2 linked regions of the Pelodiscus sinensis genome follow. The main gene of each other region encodes a partner of the protein of the gene in region 2 in a complex. Links are inferred from orthologs where the notes say so. Each region holds a gene or a part of one and is shown on either strand. Other genes may lie near its edges.

What was found.
Region 1: the proteins of SMARCAD1 (region 2) and TRIM28 are in contact, whole or in part, in a crystal structure (PDB 6H3A), measured with the Homo sapiens proteins. The link is inferred for Pelodiscus sinensis from reciprocal best matches to the Homo sapiens genes SMARCAD1 and TRIM28. Residues at the interface, in NP_001362784.1 of Homo sapiens: Asp156, Leu157, Ala160, Lys161, Gln163, Thr164, Glu167, Leu168, Phe169, Asp188, Gly189, Ala190, Ala192, Leu196, Ala201, Gly202, Gly203; in NP_005753.1 of Homo sapiens: Arg330, Trp333, Thr334, Lys337, Ile338, His341, Leu376, Lys377, Ile379, Val380, Asp381, Val383.

The regions. Positions count from the first base shown.
Region 1 is NW_027465849.1:2,730,755-2,741,941, forward strand, and holds the start of TRIM28 (transcription intermediary factor 1-beta), read right to left. Parts: upstream 4,806-11,187; 5' UTR 4,493-4,805; coding exon 4,276-4,492; intron 1-4,275. UniProt on the Homo sapiens protein: Nuclear corepressor for KRAB domain-containing zinc finger proteins (KRAB-ZFPs).
Region 2 is NC_134715.1:18,988,792-18,999,526, reverse strand, and holds the start of SMARCAD1 (SWI/SNF-related matrix-associated actin-dependent regulator of chromatin subfamily A containing DEAD/H box 1), read right to left. Parts: upstream 4,621-10,735; 5' UTR 4,481-4,620; exon of another isoform or gene 4,401-4,480; intron 3,955-4,400; 5' UTR 3,923-3,954; coding exon 3,685-3,922; intron 1-3,684. UniProt on the Homo sapiens protein: DNA helicase that possesses intrinsic ATP-dependent nucleosome-remodeling activity and is both required for DNA repair and heterochromatin organization.

The sequences.
Region 1 (11,187 bases), on a different chromosome or scaffold from region 2:
GACAAGGCCAGACTGCACTGAAGATCACCTCTCTGATAAAACAAGTGTAGGACTGGAAATCAAAACAAAATTGGGATGTCAGAAGTCACACCTAGCTAGTGACAAAATAGGGAAGATGGGACATGACATCCACCACTTCCATTTTGGGGTCCTTAAAAAGACTTCAGGAAAGGGGAAGTCAGCTTGCTAGCTAAGACTAGGTCTATACTGAAAGGGAACGTGGAACCAAGATATGAAGCAACTCAAGCTATGTTAATTACATAGCTGAAGTCAACATACCTTGTTTTGGTTTCCCTGCTGTCCTCACAGTGGGAAGTGGACAGAAGCAAACTCTTCTATCTGCTTCCCTTAGTCCTCCCAGAAGCAGGAGTACCAGCAGCAAGCAGGGGTGCTGTCAGAATTTGATTTAGACTTGCTAAATCAAACTCCAGAAGATAGATTGTTTAGTGAAGACATGGCCTAAGAGACAATGTAATGGGCACAATTTACCATTATGGCTGCCACCCCCACTGTCTCTTGGGACCTCAATGTCCTGACCAGGCTAGAGACTGCAACAAAGATAACATTTCTATCTCTCACCTATTTCAACACAAACACCGCTTGAGTTTTAAGACTTTGGTTACTGCTATCCCCCTTTTTCAGGTATCCTTTTCCTTTCAACTTATCTCCTCTTTCCTTTTGCCCCGTTTAGTAAGTCTGGATTAATCAAAGCAACTTATTTTGTATTGTCAACCTGGCAAACAACTGCCCTCAAAGACAATTACCATCTTTAAAACCCAGGGCTCGAGAAACCGTGGTGAAAACCACTCACCAGCCCCGCACTGAGCATGAGCGAACCAGTGAACGGGCGACCAGCTCAAATCTACTCATCAAGGGCAAGTAGATAAGCAGATTTGTCAAGCCCTGTTAATACCTATATGCTCCTGACCACAGAGGCAACTGAAAGCAATGCCATATTCTAACTAGCCTGATTGCTGTTACAAGTTTGCCTGTTCTCAAAGTGGCTGATCAGACACCAGAGTAGTCCTGTGTTTCTCCAGCAATGTGGTTGTATATATAAGTCAGCACCAAAGTAGCTGCATTTTCTATCTTCCCTATTTTTCTCTCCTTCCACATTTGTCTGTCTTGTTTTTGGAAGTAGGATCAGATTTTACCTACACCTCCAACCTGGCAAACAACTGCCCTCAAAGACAATTACCATCTTTAATATCTACTAAAAAGATGAACAAGTTTCCTCATTAAAAACTCTACAGCACAAGTAAACAAGGAATTTTGTTAGTACAGGCAGTCCCCGGGTTATGTACAAGGTAGGGACTATAGGTTTGTTCTTAAGTTGAATTTGTATGCAAGTCGGAACTGGCTCCAGATTCAGCTGCTGCCACTGAAACTGACCAGGGGCTGACTACAGGAAGCCGGAGGCAGAGTTGCTCTGCCCCCAGCTTCCTGGAATCAGCCTGATCAGTTTCAACAGCTGCTGAATCTGGAGCCTGGGACAGAACAGCTGGGGCACTGCCCTGTAGGTTCCCACAGCTCTACCTGAGGCATTCCGCAACAAAAGCCTGGTCTGCTGGGGGGAGGGGGGCGCACTAGCTGCGCTCCCTCCCCCCGCAGCAGACCAGGGAAACCCGAGCAAAGCCGCTGCCTGGGCAGCTTTGCTCCTGTCCCCCTGGTCTGCTGGGGGGTCCAGAAAAGCCGCTGGACCCCCCCCCCCAGCAGACCAGAGAGACCGGGGAGAAGCTTTTCTCGCCCCGGGGAGGACACGGGTGGCGACTTGCCGCCCGTGAACTCCGGGGCAAGAAAAGCCCCGTTTATAAGTGCGGATCCGACATAAGTCGGATCCGCGTAAGTCGGGGACTGCCTGTACAGACTTAATATTTAACATTTCTAATGCTTTAGTAGTTTCTCTTCTACCTGCTTAAAGAATTTAATGCACTGTTTGTCATACGACTAAGTAGTCCCAGGATCTCTGCATACAAACCACCAAAACATGTTTCCTTAATGGACAGAGAGATGATTATTTTAACACCTTTAACATTCTGGGGCCTATTTATTCTAGCAAAATAAATAAAATGGGTGCACTTAGATGTCAAAAAGAGGACAGAGTTGCTGTAACCATGGCATTATGTTGCTACAAAGCAGAACACCACCTTCCCCCCCCCGTTTGCATGCAGTTATACCTAGTGTAAAGGTCCTTTGTACCTCCACAGCCAATCAGGAATACATTATGGCAGAATAAGGCACCATTATACTGGTATAACTGTACACAAATGAGGAAACTGCATCAGTGTTCTTTAAAATAATCATCACCATCTCCATGTTATCCTCATACAAAACAAGTGCCTAAATCAGATCTGAATCACCTCTCCCACTTTTACAGGTAGTCCCTTAGAGGAACAGAACTGGATTGGCAGTTCATCAGTTTAATCCCACTGAGGCCAGGTCCACACTAGAAACCTTTACTGGAATAGTAATGTTGGCTGAGGGTATGATTTCTGTACTGGGAAATCATATGATGCAACTATAGTTAACTGGTATGAGGTGCATCTGTATTTAGGAGAGTTTGCCAATAGAGTAGAACCTCTAAGAATTATATATAACTGTTACAAATTGACTGGTCAACCACACCCCTCTCCTGGAACAGAAGTATGCAATCAGGCAGCAGCAGACAAACCAAAATAAACTACTGTATGTGTTAAATGTGAACTAAAAAAGTAACATTTTAAAAGTTATGACAAGGTATGGAAACTGTTCATCCTTGCTTCATTTAAACGGACATGGCTAAAAAGCAGCATCTCTTCTGCATACCTAAGTTTCAAAGTTATATTTACTTAATGTTCACCTGTAAACTTTTGAAAGAACCATCAAAATGCTCAGAACATCTCCATTCCCTCATAATGGAAGTCCTACTGTGAAACAAGACCAGTCAACTCTTCCCAGTGTAGATTAGGCCTGAAAACCTACAGCATTTGAGCATCTAAATCATTTGAGCATTTTGGAAAGGTCTCCCTCCTTCATGGAAACCCTGCTCCCTACCAAGAGCAGACAAGTGTGAAACCCTCTGGAGTGCTACTCTTTTCACCCAGCACTTACCTGAGGCTTCCTGTGCCAAAAAGTATTCACTAACATATAGGAATTTCCTCCAAGTCCTTGCCCCATTATCTAGTCAGAATCCTGTAAGCACTGGGTTAGTAGTGTAACAGACAGGTATGGATGCATGGGTTGAGGAGAATAGTGCTAGGGAAGCTAGTGCAAGTAGCACATGGGGTGGGGTAGGAGTGGCAGACTAAGAACCAATCTGGGGACACAGTGATCTGGTAGACAGGACCACTAATTCAGGGCACTAAGGGGGACAGAGCAAGTCAGGGAAGGAAGTTTGGGAGCACTCCTCTGATGCACTTAGGGAGGAGTGTGCTGCTATAGGAGACTGAGGAGGCATGAATGGGACCCTGGAGATAGTGAAGGACTTGCTAGGGGGTGAGGCAGACATTCAGGGAGGTCTGTTGAAGCAGTGGTTTGGGGGAAGACATTGTCCTAGGGAAGTGCCTAGGTACGGTTATGGCAGGCAGGGCCCCCCTGGAAGGACCTCCTCCCCCACCCATCTCACTCCAGGGGAAGAAGTGTCACGCCCACTACACAGCTCTCCTGCCCTCAACCCACACCCTCCATTCCTAATCCCACCTACTACAGAAGGGACACCGCCTTGTGGAGGCCTTACACCTAATGCACACCCCCTCCCTCCCTTGCAGGAGGGAGATGGTCACCCCTGCCCTTCCCCCCCGTCCCCTTCCCCCTCCCCCCCCACAATGCACACGGCCCCCCCCGTGTGCTTCCTCCCTCCCCCCCATGCCCTTCCCCCCTCCCCCCCACAATGCACACGGCCCCCCCATGCCCTTCCCCCCTCCCCCCTCAATGCACACGGGCCCCCCCCATGCCCTTCCCCCCTCCCCCCTCAATGCACACGGCCCCCCCCGTGCCCTTCCCCCCATAATGCACACGGCCCCCCCGTGCCCTTCCCCCCTCCCCCCCACAATGCACACGGCCCCCCCGTGCCCTTCCCCCCTCCCCCCACAATGCACACGCCCCCCCCGTGCCACACGCCCCCCCGTGCCCTTCCCCCCTCCCCCCCACAATGCACACGCTCCCCCGTGCCCTTCCCCCCTCCCCCCCATAATGCACACGGCCCCCCCAGTGCCCTTCCCCCCTCCCCCCCCACAGCCCTTCTCTGCCCCCACAATGCGCAAGACCCCCCCCCCACTTGACCTCCCGCGCGCTCACCTTGTCCCTCTTTATTGTTGGCGGCCTCCCCGTCGGCGGGCGGCTCGGCCCGCAGGCACTCCCGGCAGACCGAGTGGAGGCAGGGCAGCAGGCGGGGCTCCCGCTCGGCCCGCAGCCGCTCGCGGCACACGCCGCACTTCTCCAGCAGCTCCATCGCCTCCGGCCGCTTCTCCCCGCCGGGGCCGCCCGCCTCGGCCGAGGCCGCCGAGCCCGACATGGCGGCCGCCCCCCTTCCTCCTCCTTTCCCGCGTCTGCCGGCGAAGCGGGGGGGGGGAGGGTCGCCGCGAGGCTAGCGCAACGGTCGCCGGAGGGGGGAGGGGCGCCCGCACGCGCTCGCGCCGCCAAGTCGGAGGGACGTTCGCCGCGAGGGCCGCGCGCGCGCCGCTAACGGCGATGGAACGTTCACGGCCCCGCTGCACAAAGCCTAGGAGACAAGGGGAGCTGCGCGCGCACACGCACGCCGCGCGAGACAGAGAGAGAGAGGGGAGGGAGGCGGGGAGAGAAAAGCAGAAAACCCGCCTGCCTGCTTTGGCGTCGCTCCTCCTACAGGGAGAGAGCGACGGCCAATCGGAGCTGAAATAGCCCACGAGGGCGGGCTTAGCAAGGGGAAAGTCGGGCCGGCCGGCCAATCCGGGGAGAGCGTCTCCCTACGTTCGGCGTAGGGCTGGAGAAAGAACGATCGATTGAAGTTGATGCCAATCGCGGGGCTTAGGCAGGGAGGTGGTGGGGGAGGAGGGAGGAGTGAGGAATGACAAGACAGAGAGCCAATCCGCTCCCCCGGTTGCCGGGAGGCCGCAGAATACGTAGAGACTGACAGGAGGTGAGGGCGAATCCGCTTTAGGCGAGGCAGGCCTGCCTGAGTAGAGCGTGGAAGGCGCCTCAGAACGGTCGGTTAATAAGGCTCCGCCTCCCGCATGCCGAAGGCAACAGCCAGTGATTGACGTGTCTCGAGGCCAATCAGCCATCGAATCTTCCCCCGGGGGTGGGAATTTTTTTGATTAGCATGGAGCGGACCCGGCAGGTTTCCTACCTTCCAGGAGGAGGCGGGATGTAGGTTGTGACGGACAGGAAAGAGAACCAATCAGATCATGAATTACCTCAGGACCGACTCAATGACTGACAGGAGTTGAAGCCAATTACTTCATCCTAAATTCCCGCTGCCCAGCTCCTGCCTGCCCACAGAGGGCATAGGAATGGGGGGGGAGGGAATCCATTCCCCCCCCCCCCAAAAAAAAATCCCTGAGGTTTATCACTTCCCTCAAAGTGGGGTGGGGGCAAATTATGAGTGAATCTGGAGTGACCCAAAGGACACTGTTTAGCTATGTGGAGTCACTCTGGATTCACTCTGGATTGACCCAGAGCAGGTTCCACCCCACGCTTCATTGGAATAACTTTAGAGTCACTCTGCACTGACCCAGTGAAGGGCCTGCTCTCTGAGCTCAGGAGTCACTCTGGAGTCACTCCAGTTTGACCCAATACAGGGTCCCGCGCCACTGAGCTCAGTGGAATTGCTCCAGATTCACTCTGTGTCCTAATATAGGGCCCCAACCGGGTGAGCTCAGTGGAATCGCTCCAGATTCACTCTGTGTCCTAATATAGGGCCCCAACCGGGTGAGCTCAGTGGAATCGCTCCAGTTTCGCTCCAGTCTGACCCAACCCAGGGTCCCTAGTCCACTGAGCTTTGGGGAATCACTTCAGATCGACTCTGGTCTGACCCAATACCCGGTCCCACCCCACTGAGCTCAATGAAATCACTCCAGACTGACCCAATGCTGCGTCCCACCCCATGGAGCTCAGTGGACTCACTCTGATTCACTCTGGTCTGACCCAAAGGAGAATCACTCCAGATTTGCCCAAACCAAAGTCTGCCCCCTGCCTTGACTCCAACACTCTTCTCTGAATCCAGAATTTCAATTTAGAAATAATAAGAGTGCGGCCGTGAAGCAGAGCATTGGTGATTGTTTGAAGGAAGCCACACAAACATTTCTGGATCTTTAAAACTTGCCTCCCTGTGAGCGATGAAACGCATTTGATCCATTTAACTAACTTTAGGACAGAGTACGTGCCGAGAGTGACTTGATCGTGGCCTCTCCAGTGTGTCCATCTCATGATTTTGTGGTGAGTCTCGTGATAGTGATTGTTTTCCTTTAAGCCCCAACCAAGTGGGTGTGTGCTGATTTCAGCCTTCATTCTTCAAAATAAATGACGTTTCTAGCCTCCGTGGGTGTGGTGAAATCTTGAAAACATGACAAATATTCTCTCTAAATTTTTTCATCTATGTGCAGAATAAATGTTGTTAGGTGCACCAAGGTATGTGCAGATGTGCACCACCCATAGAACCACATGCTGCCAACTGTTTGCACTCTGCTAATCTTTCCTCAATGGCTGCCCAAGTGCACAACCTACAGGGAACTCTGACAGTGATCCCAGTAAGGCTCAGAAGCAGAAGGCACATAAAAAGAACACCAATATGCAGGGCTTGACAAATAGTGTGATCTACTCGCCCGTGGCAAATAGATTACACCCCGGAAGAGCTGGCGCAGAACGATCTGCGCATGCACAGAACGATCTGCACATGCGCAGAGTGCAGAACCCCATGGCTGGTGAGCAGGGCTCGCCGCCACTCAGCAAGCCCTGCCAATATGCATGACTTCAGCATCCCCTCATGATTTTTAAAGCCAACCACATGATTTTTGGTAAGCCTGACACATAATTCTGGATCATTTGGCAAGTCTGCCTACCCTAGGATATTTCTGACTGTTCAGTCTTGCCCACAATGGCTACGTCTACAGTGCAAATTATTTCGGAATACGATATTCTAGAATAATTATTCCAAAATAGCTTATTTTGAAATAGAATAGCTACGCTGCAGGGAAGCCTGAAAATTAGTCCAAGGCAGGCTTCCCTAATGTAGACGTGCTATGTCAATTTAGAGCCCCAGGAGAAATAACTTAGAATGGCCCTGGTGAGGCCATATTTCAAAATAGCATAGGTGGAGCATCTACACACGGCAGCTGTGTCTACATTGGCACCCTTTTCCGGAAATGTTTAAAACGGAACAGTTTTCCATTATAAGTATTTCCGGAAAAAGCATGTCTACATTGGCAGGATGCTTTTCCGGAAATGTACATGTGCCAATGTAGACGCGCTTTTCCGCAAAAAAGCCCCGATCGTCATTTTCGCAATCGGGGCTTTTTTGTGGGAAAGACTACTGGGCTGTCTACACTGGCCCTTTTCCGGAACAGTTTTTCCGGAAAAGGACTTTTGCCTGAATGGGAGCAGCATAGTTTTTCCGGAAAAACAATGACGATTTTACATTAGATCGTCATTGCTTTTCCGGAAAAGAAAGCGGCTAGTGTAGACAGCTTTCAAGTTATTCCGGAAAAGCAGCTGCTTTTCTGGAATAAGTGGCCCAGTGTAGACACAGCCGGCTTGTTTTGAAATAGCTATTTCAGAATAGGCATTATTCTTCGTAGAATGAGGTTTGCAGAAGTCAGAATAAGCCGTCCATTATTTCAAAATTATGTCAAAATAACGGAATTGCTGTATAGATGCTCACATAGTTATTTCAGAATAATGGCCACTATTCTGAAATAACTTTGCCATGTAGACACACACAAAGACTTGAAGAAGAAGCTAGATAAACTGAGACAAGAAATAAAACTTGGATTTCTAACAACAAATATCATTAACCACAGAAAATGTCTCATCAAGGGGATGAGCGTCCCCCATCCCTTCAGAGAAGGGGTCCCCATCAGTTGGTGTCTTTAAATCCAGAACAGGTGTCTTTGTCTAAAAGATCTGTTCTAGCTCAATCAGAAAACATGTGCTGGATGCAGGCACCATGGATCTGTGCTATATTGGAAGTTGATGGAAACTGGCCTGGAAATCCAAGAACAATCATATTGGTCAAAACAAGAACTCTGGCCGTGGGTTCCCAACAGTCTCTACGATCATTAAAGCTAATTGGGCTTTTTAAAGACTCATGATTCTCCCCCCCCCCTTCATTTTTGCCATTTGATTTCTGTACAATACAAAGAGACCAGTCAGTTTAACCCCTGTGAAACTCCCAGGGTACATCTACAATTCAATAAAAGACTGATGAGTGGCGGACAAGCAGCGGAGCAGAGCAGCTGAGGTGCTGCCAGATTGGTCCTGCAGCGCCGCTCCTTACCCCCCTGCTTGGCAATAACTACTCCAGTCTGGGGGGTGGGGAACCCGCTCCCCTCCTGGAAACTCTCGGCAGTGGTGTGGGGTTTCCCCCGCCTTTCTGCAAAACGGGAGAGGGTTCACCCCTCGCCACGTCATTCCCTGCCCACTCCCCACCTCTCAGCCTGACGCAGTGTGGGTTCCGGCGGACCCATCACACGGTATAATCCCCTTCCCCTCTTCTGCCCTGCCCTTTACCAGCCGCGAGTGTCCATGGGGCTCACAGCAGCTCCAATTGTCCGGCTGGCCGGAGCACTTCCGGGTTCCAATTGGTGCTAGACTATCGGGAGTGCCGGACCACTGGATGCCGGACAATTGGAGTCTTACTGTAATTGCTTTCTAAAAAAAAATCAAGTAGAGAATCTGACTTTATCCCAGAACTCCAGGCACTAAAGCTTTCAGAAAAACATTCTCTCTCTCTCTCTCTCTCTCTCTCTCTCTCTCATACACACCCAGCATAGTAAAATTGAGCATATTTCTCCAGGAATAGGGGCTTTGTGTGTTTTTTTTAATTTTCTGACATGTAGGGTAGAAATGAAGGACCCTGATAATCAGGGGATGAGGGGTACACACAGCCCCTGCCATGGGGAGAGAATGGGAGAGACTGCTAGGGCAGATAAGAGAAATGGGGGCACACAGAGCCTCTGGTGGATGGAGACAGTGGGGGATGCTAGTATACGGGACGCGGGAATGAGGGGGTACATATAACCCCTGCCAGAGGCTGCCATTGGAGGAGAATGGGAGAGCCCAGAATGAGAGTTGTGGAGGATTGAGGCGGTACACTGAGCTCCTGGAGGGTGACGACAATGGGGAGATGGTGGCATGGGAAAGTGGGGAATGAGGAGGCACACACGGCCCCTGCCATGGGGGGAATGGGGAATTTTAGTACTGGAGATGGGAATGAAAGGACACACTGAGCCCCTGGTGGTGTGAGAATGGGGGGGCACAGAGAGCTGCTGACAAGAGGCAGGCAGGATGCAGAGTCCCTGAAATCAAAGGGGCTGGAGAGATGGCACCCAAGAAGCGAGTAGGGGGGCAGATGGAGGTATGCAAGGAACTGAGCCTGCACAAGCTATGAAACATGTGACTCTTGGTATATATGAAACAGCAAGCTCTGGATGTGGGATTCCAACTCCACTGCTCTTGCTCATTAAAGTCAAGGGGGGGTTTCCCATTGATGCCCAGACTCCTATTGACCTCTAGGGTAGGGTTGAGTCATCCCAGCCCTATAGAGAACAATGGTTCCCATCCAGCTCAGAAAGGTGATAAAGGCACAGCCCATTCGGATGCTGATGCAGTTAAGTGAAACAGTTCCAGACAAACAGTAATAGAGAGGTAGCCCTGTTAGTCTGATCTTGCTAAAACAAAAGGAAAAACTATGTAGCACTTTAAAGACTAACCATCTTGTTAGTCTTTAAAGTGCTCTATAGTTTTTCCTTTAGTTCCAGACAAAGACATTCATCTCTCTCCACACCAAACACCTTTCCTCTCCTCTGTGCCATGGCCCCAGGGTTCCTGGACAAACAGGCTCTTCTCAGGCTCCCCTCCTATTTCCCTCTCTTCCCTAGCCTATGTAAACTCTTTTCTGGATCACCAAGGATAGGAGAACAATCAGAAGTGGTATTTATAGTTCATACCTCATAATGGGATAAAATGGAAGGTCCCATCATGGATCACTAACTTGTTAAAAAGAGAGGAACTAGTGGGTTTGAATAAATGGTTATTAGGAAAGGAATCGATAATAAGATGGAAGATATCATAATGCCACTATATAAATCCTTAGTATGTCCACATTGTGAATACTAAGTGAAAATCTGGTTGCCCCATCTCTAAAAATATATATTAGAATTGTAAAAGGTACAGAAAAGGGCAACAAAAATAATTAGGGATATGGAACAGCTTGTTTTTAAGGAAAGAGTTAAAAGACTGGGACTTTTCAGCTTGGAGAAGAGATGACAAAGGGTGTGTCTGCACAGCAGGGCTTAACTCAAAATAAGCTACACAAATTGAGCTACATCAATTGCATATCTTATTTTGAAATAGCTTATTTCCAAATAGGGAGCATCTACAATGCACTTATTTCAAAATAGAGCACTCTTCCTCAGACTTCCCTTATTCCTCGTACAATGCGGGTTACAGAAAACAGAGTAAGAAGTCTTCCAGCTTGACAGTATTTTGACACTATTTCGAAATAACTGCCTGCTGTGCTGACTAAGTTATTTCAGAATAGCAGTAGTTATTTTGAATAGTATTGCACTGTAGACATACCCTAAGGCCGTGGTCACCAACCAGTAGATCGCGATCTACTGGTAGATCTCAGGGGCTCCAAGAGTAGCTCTTGAGCCCTCTCTGAGCTGCGCACCTGCGCAGTACATTTACATTAGATTTCCTCATGTAATGTAGGCGGGGCTTCAAGGAAGGGGCGGGGCAGTAGATCTTCGCCTGTTCTGAGACTTAAAAAGTGATCTTGGGTGTAAAAAGGTTGGAGACCACTGCCTTAAGGGAACTTATGATGGGGGCCTATAAAATCATGAATGGTGTGGAGAAAGTGAATAAGAAAGTGTTATTTACTCCTTGTCATAACACAAGAACCAGGGGTAACCCAATGAAATTAATAGCCAGCAGGTTTAAAACAAACAAAAGACAATACTTCTTAACACAGTGCAAAGTCAGCCTGTGAACTCATTTCTAGGGAATCTTTTG
Region 2 (10,735 bases):
ACAGAAATCATGCTTTTTGATGATCCCTTGATCATTGAAGTTAAGCAAGGCGTAAAGCAGGGGGACGTTTGTTCATCAGAGTTGTTGGCCAGCATCCTGGAAGATGTCCTGCTGAAGATCGAAGTGAAAGACAGATTTCTGATTGATGGCAAGGTTCTTCAGATGCTCCTTTTCACAGACGACATTATCCTAATTGCGTCAAAACCCGAAACATTGCAAACCCTCCTCATTGACACTGGTAAGAATGCGAAGAAGATTAGCCTAACCATCAACACTATAAAAACTAAGTGGATGAAAAACACATATTGTTCAGAGAATACACCATGCAGCTAGATGGACTGTTTGTTAAGCTGGTGGATCAATATGTATAACTTGGACAACAGTTGCAGATGCACAATGAGTTGGGCCCAGAGTTGAGCAGGAGGAGGAAGTCGAGCTGGATTGCCTTTGGGAGTCTGCATAGTGTTTTTGTTTATACCAAACTTTCCACCCCCACAAAAGCCTCTCTCTTTAACACCAGTATCCTTCCGGTAATGCTGTACGGCTGTACCACCTAAACACGACATTTACAGAAGAATTAAAGCTGCAAACCATCCGAAGAGCAACGGAAAGATGGGTGGGTGTGAGTAGGCTATAGCAAGTTATCATCAATGATTTGCACAAATGAAGTAGTGTTCACGATATCATCCAAGTTATGGATGACAGGAAAAAGGGATGGGTTGGCCATATAGCCAGATCGAGAGACAACAGATGGACAGCACTATAATCCATTGGTATCACGAGATGTAAAAAACAAGAGGAAGGCCTCCAGCACATTGGGTGGATCCTTTATGGAAGATGTATGGAAACACATGAACAATAACCGCACAAAACAGGATGGAGTGGAAAAGTTACCATCTGCATTGGTGGCAAGACTATTCGCATCGATGCAATCACAGCTCTTCCCAGTAAGTAAGAGTTCTGCAGCTCTCACTACATTTAAAAGGCAGAGGCACAGCTGGGATAGCAAGAGTCTCCCCTCCTCTTTGTCAACTAATCGAGTAGCTGATGGAAATTAGCTGCTGAATTGAAATGTAACATCCCTATTTTGTAACAAATGGACTCAACTATTGCCACTCACTGTATCTATGAATCAAGCCTAATGCCACAAGAAAAATCCAACTGGTCGAGAAACCAAGAGCTCATCTACTCATCAACAGAGGACACTGGGAATATATATCTTTATACACTACACTTGGCATGGATTGTCCATTATATAGAGACCAAATCAAGTTCTAAATTTCAAAACCCTGCATTAGTTTAAGTACTATACAAGTGCGTTCATTCATATGCTAATCTAAGAACATTCTGAAGCATGGATGGTTAGACTCAATGACCTCCTGAAGTCTCTTCCAAACCTATGATTCTATGTTAGGGAATGGGGAAACTGTTGCATTTGCACAGTAGCGATGTTAGATATAGGGTAAAACAGCTCCCCGCACAGACTGGCTGCCTGCCGCCCTGCAGCTGCACATGGTGGCAGCATCCCCTGTCCACGGGGGTCCGAGCTCCCTGCTAACAGAGGCTGCTGCAGGAGGGAGGTGGGTGCAGGCGCAGCGAAGCAGCCTCTGTCCATGGCAGCCCCGGCTGGCTGAGGACAGAGGCTGGTCCCCAGCAGCAGCCCCTCCCCTGCTGCTGCCTGTGATAGAGGGCTTTCTTGCGAAAGAAATTCATGTTGCCTGTCCACACTGGCCTCTTGCACAAGAACAGTTGCGCAAAAGGGCTTATTCCTGAGCGGGAGCGTCAGAGTTCTGGCACAAGAAGCCCTGATTTCATACATGAGAACGTTAGTGTACTTGCGCAAGAACACACGGCCAATGTAGACAGGAAGCAAGATTTTGCGCAAGAGTGGCCACTTTGGCGCAAGATCGTGCCAGTGCAGACACAGCCAAGGGGAGAGAGGGAGGGAGGCAGGGGCAGGGAATCAGTGCTGGCTCAGCATGTCTGCATGGTTTGGGGTAAATGTAAATGTGATTATTAAATTGACTGCTTTTTAATTGAAAACTATTACAACAGTTTGATCATCTTCACTGATTAATCTGAAGATCTGATCCAAAAAGGAGTGAAGTTGGCAACCCAGTAACTGATAAACGAGTCTCCTGGCTTAAACTCCTACCACTACCACCACCACCCAGAATCCCTACAGATGATCAAGTACAAACACAGAACCAAAAGATAATCCAACCTCACATAATTTACCATCTGAGACTGGAATTATGGAATTACACTGTGGAATTACTTTGGTATAAATATGCTGCTCAGGGATGTGTGTACAATCCACATCCAGGAGCAATGTAATTATACTGACCAAAATGCCCGAATAGACAACACTATATTAGTGGAAGAGCTCTTCCCACTGACATACTTACTGTCTCTAGCGGAAGTGGATTAACTACACCAATGGGAACGGGATGGTGGCATGTGGCTGGAGCAGTCCTTCTGTCAGCATAGAGCAGCGGTCAAACTGGTCAATCATGATCAAGTGGTCTTTCCTAGGAAATCTCTCAGTTGATTGCAATCAGCAGGCTCCCTGACTGCTCCAGCCACATGCCACCATCCCGTTCCCAGAAGCAGCCAGGATGGCCCCATTTATGTGGAGAGGAAGGAGTCTTGGCATGTTGCTCCTGCTTTCACCCATCACCCCTCTCCCCCCACAGTTCCCATTGGCTGGAAATGGTGAACTGTGGCTAATGGGAGCTGAGGGAGTGGTGATGGCGAAAAGGAGTAGCACATGGAGCCACGTGCCCCTTGCCTCTCTCCCCAGTACTAATGTGGTGCCTTGACCCTTTCCCGAAACAGGGTTGGGCTGGGGCAGGCAGTATAGGAATATAGGAATCTGGTACTGACAAAGCAGAAGTAGGCCATTTGATGGAAGAGAGAAGCAAAAGAGTCAAGGGTGGAGGCAAGTCAAATGTAGAGAGAATCAACCATATCAATGGATGAAAAGGAAAAGAGGACTAAGAGCAAACAAAAAGTCACCAACATTAATATACTGACTAGGGATGTGAATGGCTAACGGGTAAACATCACATTTACCAGGTGATGCTTACCAGTTACAGTTAACCAGCAGGCTGGAACTGCCCCCTGTTCACCACAGGCATAGGGTTGTCCTAGCCCCGAAGGGTCTGCTGCAGGCGGGGGGGGGGGGGGGGGGCATTCCAGCCCAGCCAGAGCAGCCCCCAGGCACGGTGGGCCTGGCCCAGCACACAGTGGTCAGGGATACTCTAGTCCAGCCAGAGCAGGCCCCAATTGCAGCTCTCCTGGGTCACTGCAGCCTGGCTGGATCAGGGATATACCATCGTCCGTTGTCTGAAGGTTCTAGAATACTTTCCTTGAGAGACAGAGAGTAGTACATGTGTTATCTAAAAGGGCTTCAAGCATTTTTTTGAAATTTAATCAATGAAGCACTTCATTACTGGTTCTCAGCAGACTCCCTGCTTGATCTTTTAAATCCTGATTCTGCCCTCTATTCACTTTTTTAAAGGAAAATACGATGGCAGAGCCTGTGATATTTGTAAGGCAATTATTATGAAGTAGCGGTAGCTGAGAAGATGGAAGTACTGAAGAAAAACTGTAAGTGCGGCAGACATTTTACTCTTATACATTGCCAATATGTTTGTGCTAAACACAAAACATGTAACTCACCAGTTTTCTCAGTAACATCTGATGCTGGAGTATCTGGCCTGCTGCTGTCATCTGTAACCTCATCATCATCATCATCATCACCACCACCACCATTATCACCACCAGCAGCACTGCCTGCTGCAGCAGGAGAAGGCGCAGAGGGTATCTCAGCTGGGGGAAGAGGAGTAGGTGGATTTTCTTGTTCCACCTTTTTAGTCTTCTTCTCAAAGCGAAAGCGGTCCAGATTAAACAGACTCATCGCCTCAGCCTATAGCTCTTGCTGGTCTGGGTCTGCGAGAGAGAGGAGACAGGATTGACTCTAGGGGGGAAGGAGGCCAGGCAATCAGCCATGGCTCACTCCAAACCACAAGGCACCGAGACCAGACACAAGCAGGCGCAGAAGCTGCTGCAGAAGGAGGGAAACCCAAGGGCGGCCCTTCCCCCACCCCCACTCGGCGGGGCCCGGGACAGGCATTGTTGGCCGAAGGCAAGAAACCAGCCCAGGTGGGGGAGAGAACGTCAACTATCGCGGGGGGGGGGGGGGGGAGCGCAGCCCCTCCCGCGCTCAATCCGCCCCCGCAGGGCGGCCCCGCCCGCACCTGTCTCACCCGGGCAGAGCCACCTGGCTGACAAAGACAAAAGCGGGCGGGGAGGGACCGACGATGGGAGGGGGGGGGGGAGACGAAGCGGAAACTGCAAAGCGGCTCCGAGCCCGGCTACCGCGCGCGGCAAAGCACCAGCAGCCGCTGCCTCGGCCTCCGCCGGTAGCGAGCAGCGCGGGGCAGCAGCGCCAGGGGTGGCACCGGCGGCTGAGTACCCTTTTCGGAGGCGAAGCGCGGCGGCGACGTCAGAAGGCGGCGACAGAGGCGCGCCTGGTGATGACCTCACCACTTCCCAGTAGCCCCCGCTCCCCTGGGGCTGGCTGCGGTCTCCCGAGCGCGTGCCGGAGCGCGCCTCCTCCCCAGCCTACCCCGCCCAGCCTTCAAGCGCGCGCCTGCCTTCGTCTCCCAATGGCTGTCTGGTCGCGGGGCGGGGCTTGGTCTGCCACGAGGTCGAGCGGCGCGGGGGTGCGACGGGGCCGAATGTTGCCAGCGCTCCCGCCTGGCCTGCGCTGTGCGAGCCGCGGGGAGGAGGGATGCCCCTGCCCAGCCACCTTCGCAAGCTCCAGTGGCGCTGCGCCCGCCCATGCAGCAAAATAGCTCCTCCGCCCGCTACTCGCCCCCCCAGCCCACCCTGCTCTCGCTCGGTATTGGGCAGAATATTTATGATGCGTCCCCCCCCCTTCCTTTATATTAGCGCATCCACCTCTCTCCTCTAGCAGTGGCATAGTGTTACTTATTGCATCTTTGCGCCCCTGGCTGTGATGCGCCTGGGGTGAGCACTAGGGATGTCAAATGGTGGAGAATCAGCTAATGGAGTAGTGGTAGGAACAGGGTTTTAAGCCACTGTAGCCAGTAGCCCTTTGATGCATAGGTAAAACCTTAAATTATGGTCTGTGGCTAAGCTGTCCCTCCCCCAAAGCCTGCTGTTCAGTTGGAGCAGAGAGACACGGCCTAGCTGACATCAAAACGGATCATAGGAAGCTTTGAGAAAACAGGACGGACACAGAACAGCAGCCCTGTCTGCTTATAAACTAGGTAGCGCAACGCTAAACGAAAAGCCACAATTGGCTACTACTATCATGAATTTCACATATACACTCAAGGTTACGGCCCTGTGAGGAGCCCCACAGTTTGCATGGGAAAGAGACACCCAGCTGCTCTCTCAAGGCCAACCAGGAATTGTTGCTAAGGAACTAGAGATAGTGCCCCCCTTTCATGAGCCCAACTTGCTAATTTTGTAACATTATAAACTATTGCTTCTGTGTAGCTTACTTTGTTTTGTTTTTTGCTTTACACCACCTAGACAAGCACCTGTGAACCACTCCTATCACCTAGACAAGCACCTGTGAACCACTCCTATCACCTAGACAAGCACCTGTGAACCACTCCTATCACCTATCTGGAAGGCACCGTTGCCACTCCTACATATCCCAATTGGAATATATGGGATGTATGCCTCACACTTTGGGGGAGGGGAGAGGGATACATATACTTGTGTTTAGCAATTGTGTTAACCTGAGCCGTGAGCAGAGTTACTATGTAATCTTTTAGACTTTTGGCTTATTGGCTCATAATATCTTGCTGCTACAACCTATCCAGGGGCTTGGGAACTTGCCGCCCCATCGTTTCTCTCTCTGCCCATCAGCTCTCCATATAGTCTATTGTAATCATTTACTTGGCAGTGTTTTCTGAGCCCAAGTGGCAAGATGGCACTCCGCCAGCGCTGTGTGTAATAAACCCTCCATGCTTGAATCTACATGGTATCTACATTTTTTGTTTTCAACATAATTGATGAAGGGAGGGTGCTCACTTCCCTCACTGTGGCTCTGCAGTTGCCGCCCAACTCTTACTACATTTAAACTGCAGAGCCACAGTGGGGGTAACTCACAGGCAGCTCTTACTACATTTAAAAGGCAAAGCTGCAACGCTGCTGCACATCTACTCCCCACCTGCCAACTGCATACAGTGCGGGGAAGGGGAGAGAATTGGCTTTTAAGCCAGCTCCTCCCAGCACTGGCTCCTGCTTCCTCCCCAACCTTGCTGCCTCTATATTAGAAGCAGCAAAGGGGAGGAGGGAGAAATATGATAAGTCGACTCAGCTACCAGATAAGCCTAGACCAGTTGCTTGGATGGCACCTTACTGGCCTGGAGCAGTTTGAAATAGGGACATTAGTGTAAAGCTGAGAATCCTGTCAACCACATGCACTTAATGGACAGCAGGTGTAAAACAAATAAAAGGAAGTTCTTCACACAGTGCAAAATCAAACTGTGGAACTCCTTGCCCAAGGAGGTCATGAAGGCTTGGACTATAACAGGGTTTAAAGGAGAACTAGATAAATTCATGGAGGTTAAGTCCATTAATGGCTATTAGCCAGGATAGGTAAGGAATGGTGTCCCTAGCCTCTGTTTGTCGGAGGGTGGAGATGGATGGCAGGAAAGAGATCGCTTGATCATTACCTGTTCGGTTCACTCCCTCTGGGACAGTTGGCATTGGCCACTGTCAGCAGGCAGGATACTGGGCTGGATGGACCTTTGGTCTGACCCAGTATGGCCATTCTTATCTTATCTCCTCCTATTTCAGCAGGCTCCTCAAGAACATACCAGATTTGCCTGCTCCCTCACCCCCTGCTGTTGCCTTTCTGAGAAGCAGCAGCATGGGAGGTGGGGGAGGATGGCACGAGAGGCTGCCACGAAGCAGCCTTTGTCCACAGGGAGGTCTGAGCTGTCTGTGGACAGACGCTGCTCTGCATCCCATGGAGAGTCTGAGCTACCCACACACAGAGGCTGCTGGGGGTTTGAGGTTTCCACCAACCGAGGCTGCTCCACAGAATGCAGAGAAGCCTCTGTCCGTGGAGACCTTGGATCCCCCCCATGGGGCTGCTGCCATCCCTTCTCGCTACCTCTGTATCAGAGGCAGTAGCACAGGGCAGCAGGCAGCTAGTCCGCGAGGCAAGCTGTTTTTTAAACCAGCTCCCCTCGTGGACCAGCTCTTGCCTGCCACCCTGCACTGCTGCCTCTAATAGACAGCAGCAAAGGGTGGCAGGGCACTCCTCAGGAGTGGGGCCAGAGCGCACTGGCTGTCAGCCCCACCGCTGGGGACTGTCAAATATTTGTGTAACCAATAATACTTTATGCGCTTACAAAACTATTCAATTATACAATATCTAACATCCCTGGTTTGAAAGCTGGACCTGTGCTGGAGGCCACTCTTTACCACAAAACTCCTCCAATGCTCATTTCACTTCTGTTCATGAATATATTCCTTGCTTTTATTCTAGCACTGAAGAAACAAAATTAACTAACCACTTGAAACTAGGTATTGCTGACTACATCATAGCCCATCATGTCGTTTTTATTCCTTCCCAGGGGCCTCGTGATGCCAGTGCTTTCCCCTCCTTTGGCACTCTTAGCTTTGGTGCTAAACAAATCCTGAGGTAAGTCAGGAGAGGCAAAGAGCACTCCCCAACTGTCATTCCCAATTGCCCTGGAAACTTACTGCAACATTCTATCCCTTCTCCTCTTTGAATAGGAGAAAAAGAGCAGGGGACGTCTTCTCAAGTGGCAGAATTTTAAAATGTCTTCCCAGTACAACATCCACTTTTTCACCAGAAAATCCAGTGCCTAATAAACTTACTGAAATTTCTTCTGCTATCCCATCTCTGTACAGCTATGGAAACACATTCAAAATGTCTGGCCTGCTCTGCTATTGCAAGTCCAAGGACCAGACAACAAATACAAGCTATGTGCTTGCACCCAACAGGCTGATGGAGGTGTCTATAAAGGTTTATTATCTCCAAAACAAGGCTTAGGTAATATTTAAGATAGACAAAAGAGATGAGTTGAAACAGGAATTTGCCTCAGGTTAGTTTTGAGTATAAATAATAACTAACAGTGAACAAGGACAGATGTGGCCTGGAGGGATTGTATAAACACAAGCAGGACAAATTTGCAGAAGTAGCGTATGATTGGATAAAAGGCAGTTCAGCATATATGGCAAGGATATTTGGAAACTTTCCGAGGAAGTCAAAGCAGGAATGCTTTGAGGTTATTATCTGAAGAGGGATGAGATATGATGAAGAAATTCTGTTGGTTAGAGGGAAAAAGAAGACTGGAAAGGGGAATTGTAGAGATCTGAAAAGCAGACACAGCTGTGGGTGGGGAATAGGTAAGAAAATGTAGCATAGGCTAGAAGTAAATAAGGAATTTGCCAATCAGGGAAGAATGTGATAGGACGTTGAAATTGGGATGGTGGCTGCTGGAACTGAAACCACTTTAGTGGCACTGATGAATGATCTGCTGACAACGGATAGAGAACAGACATCGATTTTTAGGATCCTGGACATCTCTGAAGCACTGATTGTTATCGACCAGATCAGATATTGTTGTCAAGCCTGAGAGAGGTGGCAGAGATCAGGGGTAGTGAGTTACAGCAGTTTGAGTCCTTTTTGGAGGGACGTGCCCACTGAGTAGGGATGGGGAAACTGCACCTCTATTATTAGACCCATCATCTATAGAGTCCCATAAAGATGGATGTCTCTCTGGTCATATTCAAAATTTACATGTGTCCATTAAGTGCATGTGTCAGACAACGGAAGAGGTGCTAGCAATATTCAGTATTATCTATCCTTCAACTCTATCACTAAGATGGCCCATTGCAGGTGAAATAAACTCATGGGTGAACAACACTTGGTTGAAACAACTTAAGCAAAGAAAAGCCACAGTGAAATCTCCTTTGATTGAAAGTACTATTACAATAGGAGGTTGGGTGAAACCTCACTTAAGCTGGTTGAACATGATAGCCCTTCTGTGTTAGAGATAAACATAAGCAACAGTTGAGCTCCTTTTTGGAATAAGAGCTGAATCCGCGTGCTCTTGGATTCCCCACTGATGTTAAGCTCTTATAGCAGCATCTGCAAGTAACACTGTATGTGCTAGTTATCCCAGAGGCTCCATCCTGACATAGCAAATGACGAGCTGCATTCGTTAGTGATGGCTGTGTCACCTTTTGGCTGGCCTCCAGTAATGCAGTATACCTATGCAAGCCTTCAATGCTTAGGAAATTCAACAGTCCCAAATGCTGTAGTGTGTCTCCTTAGCAACACTAGTCATCACAAATACATCAAACCTCTCATTTGCTCCTTACCGCTGTTTCCCATAGACTATGAATCAAGGTCAGACATCTCACCTTTAGGGGCCTCTGAGACACTCAGGACATATAAGAGATTGAATAACGTTCCATCTTGAAGATTATGATCAAGGGGTGCCAGAACAAGGGTGGAGCGACAGTTTTAAAAGTGGTGCAGCTTGGAGGTAGAGCCACAGTTCAGACATCCCACTTTTAGAGCACTTTTACCGCTCCTGCTGTAATCAACAATTTCTCTTCCCTGGCACAATGTAACTTACAAAAGAGTGAATCCACTCAGGAGACATCTTTCTTAGGGGCTAACCAAAGGCTGTGGGGTGGCCTGCCAATGGAAGGCCAAAGGGGGAAGTTGCCAAAGGGGGGTTTGGGACTACAAAGTGACCTGGGGCTCACAGCCACTGCTGCTGTATTAATAGGGGTAGCTGGAGCCACAGGCCCTTTAAATTGCTACTAGAGTGCACATTGCACACCACCCCATCTGGGAGGATGAAGCCGGGCCCATTCCATCTTGCCAAAGGGCCCATCCAGACTCTCAGCTCCCCTGCCTGTGGAATAAACTCCCATAGGGTATGTCTACACTAGCTCATTACTTCAAGCGAGGTAGGCAAATCAGGCAACCGGAGTTGCAAATGAAGCCCGGGATTTAAATATCCTGGGCTTTATTTGCATGTTCCCGTCCGGCCGCCATTTTAAAATCCTCCTTAGTTTGAATGAACTGCCCACAGCTACACGCGGCAATTTAAAGTTAATCCGGCAATTTAAAGTTAATCCGAACTAAGTCCTTAGTTCGGGTTAACTGTTACTCCTCGAGGAATGAGGCGTAACAGTTAATCCAAACTAAGGACTTAGTTCGGATTAACTTTAAATTGCCGCGTGTAGCCGCGGGCAGTTCGTTCGAACTAAGGGGGATTTAAAAATGGCGGCCGGACGGGAACATGCAAATAAAGCCAAGGATATTTAAATCCCGGGCTTCATTTGCAACTCCGGTTGCCTGATTTGCCTACCTAGCTCGAATTAACGAGCTAGTGTAGACATACCCATAGAGAGTAAGGCGAGCACAAACCTAATCACACCTCCTTCTTCTGTAGGGACAAGAGGCAATTCTCTGACTTTGCCTTCTCTAATAAACATAGGAGTGGATGTGTCAAACATATTTTACACATTTTCACTGCACCCACTTCTGTCCCTTGGGAGAAAACCAAAACATGACAGAAGTTAGTCACATTACTTAATGCATTATTGGAAAGTACTCAGATACTATGGTGATGATGACACTGACACATATAATGGGTGCATCTTCATTGCTAGGCAAATTGTGTACTTATTT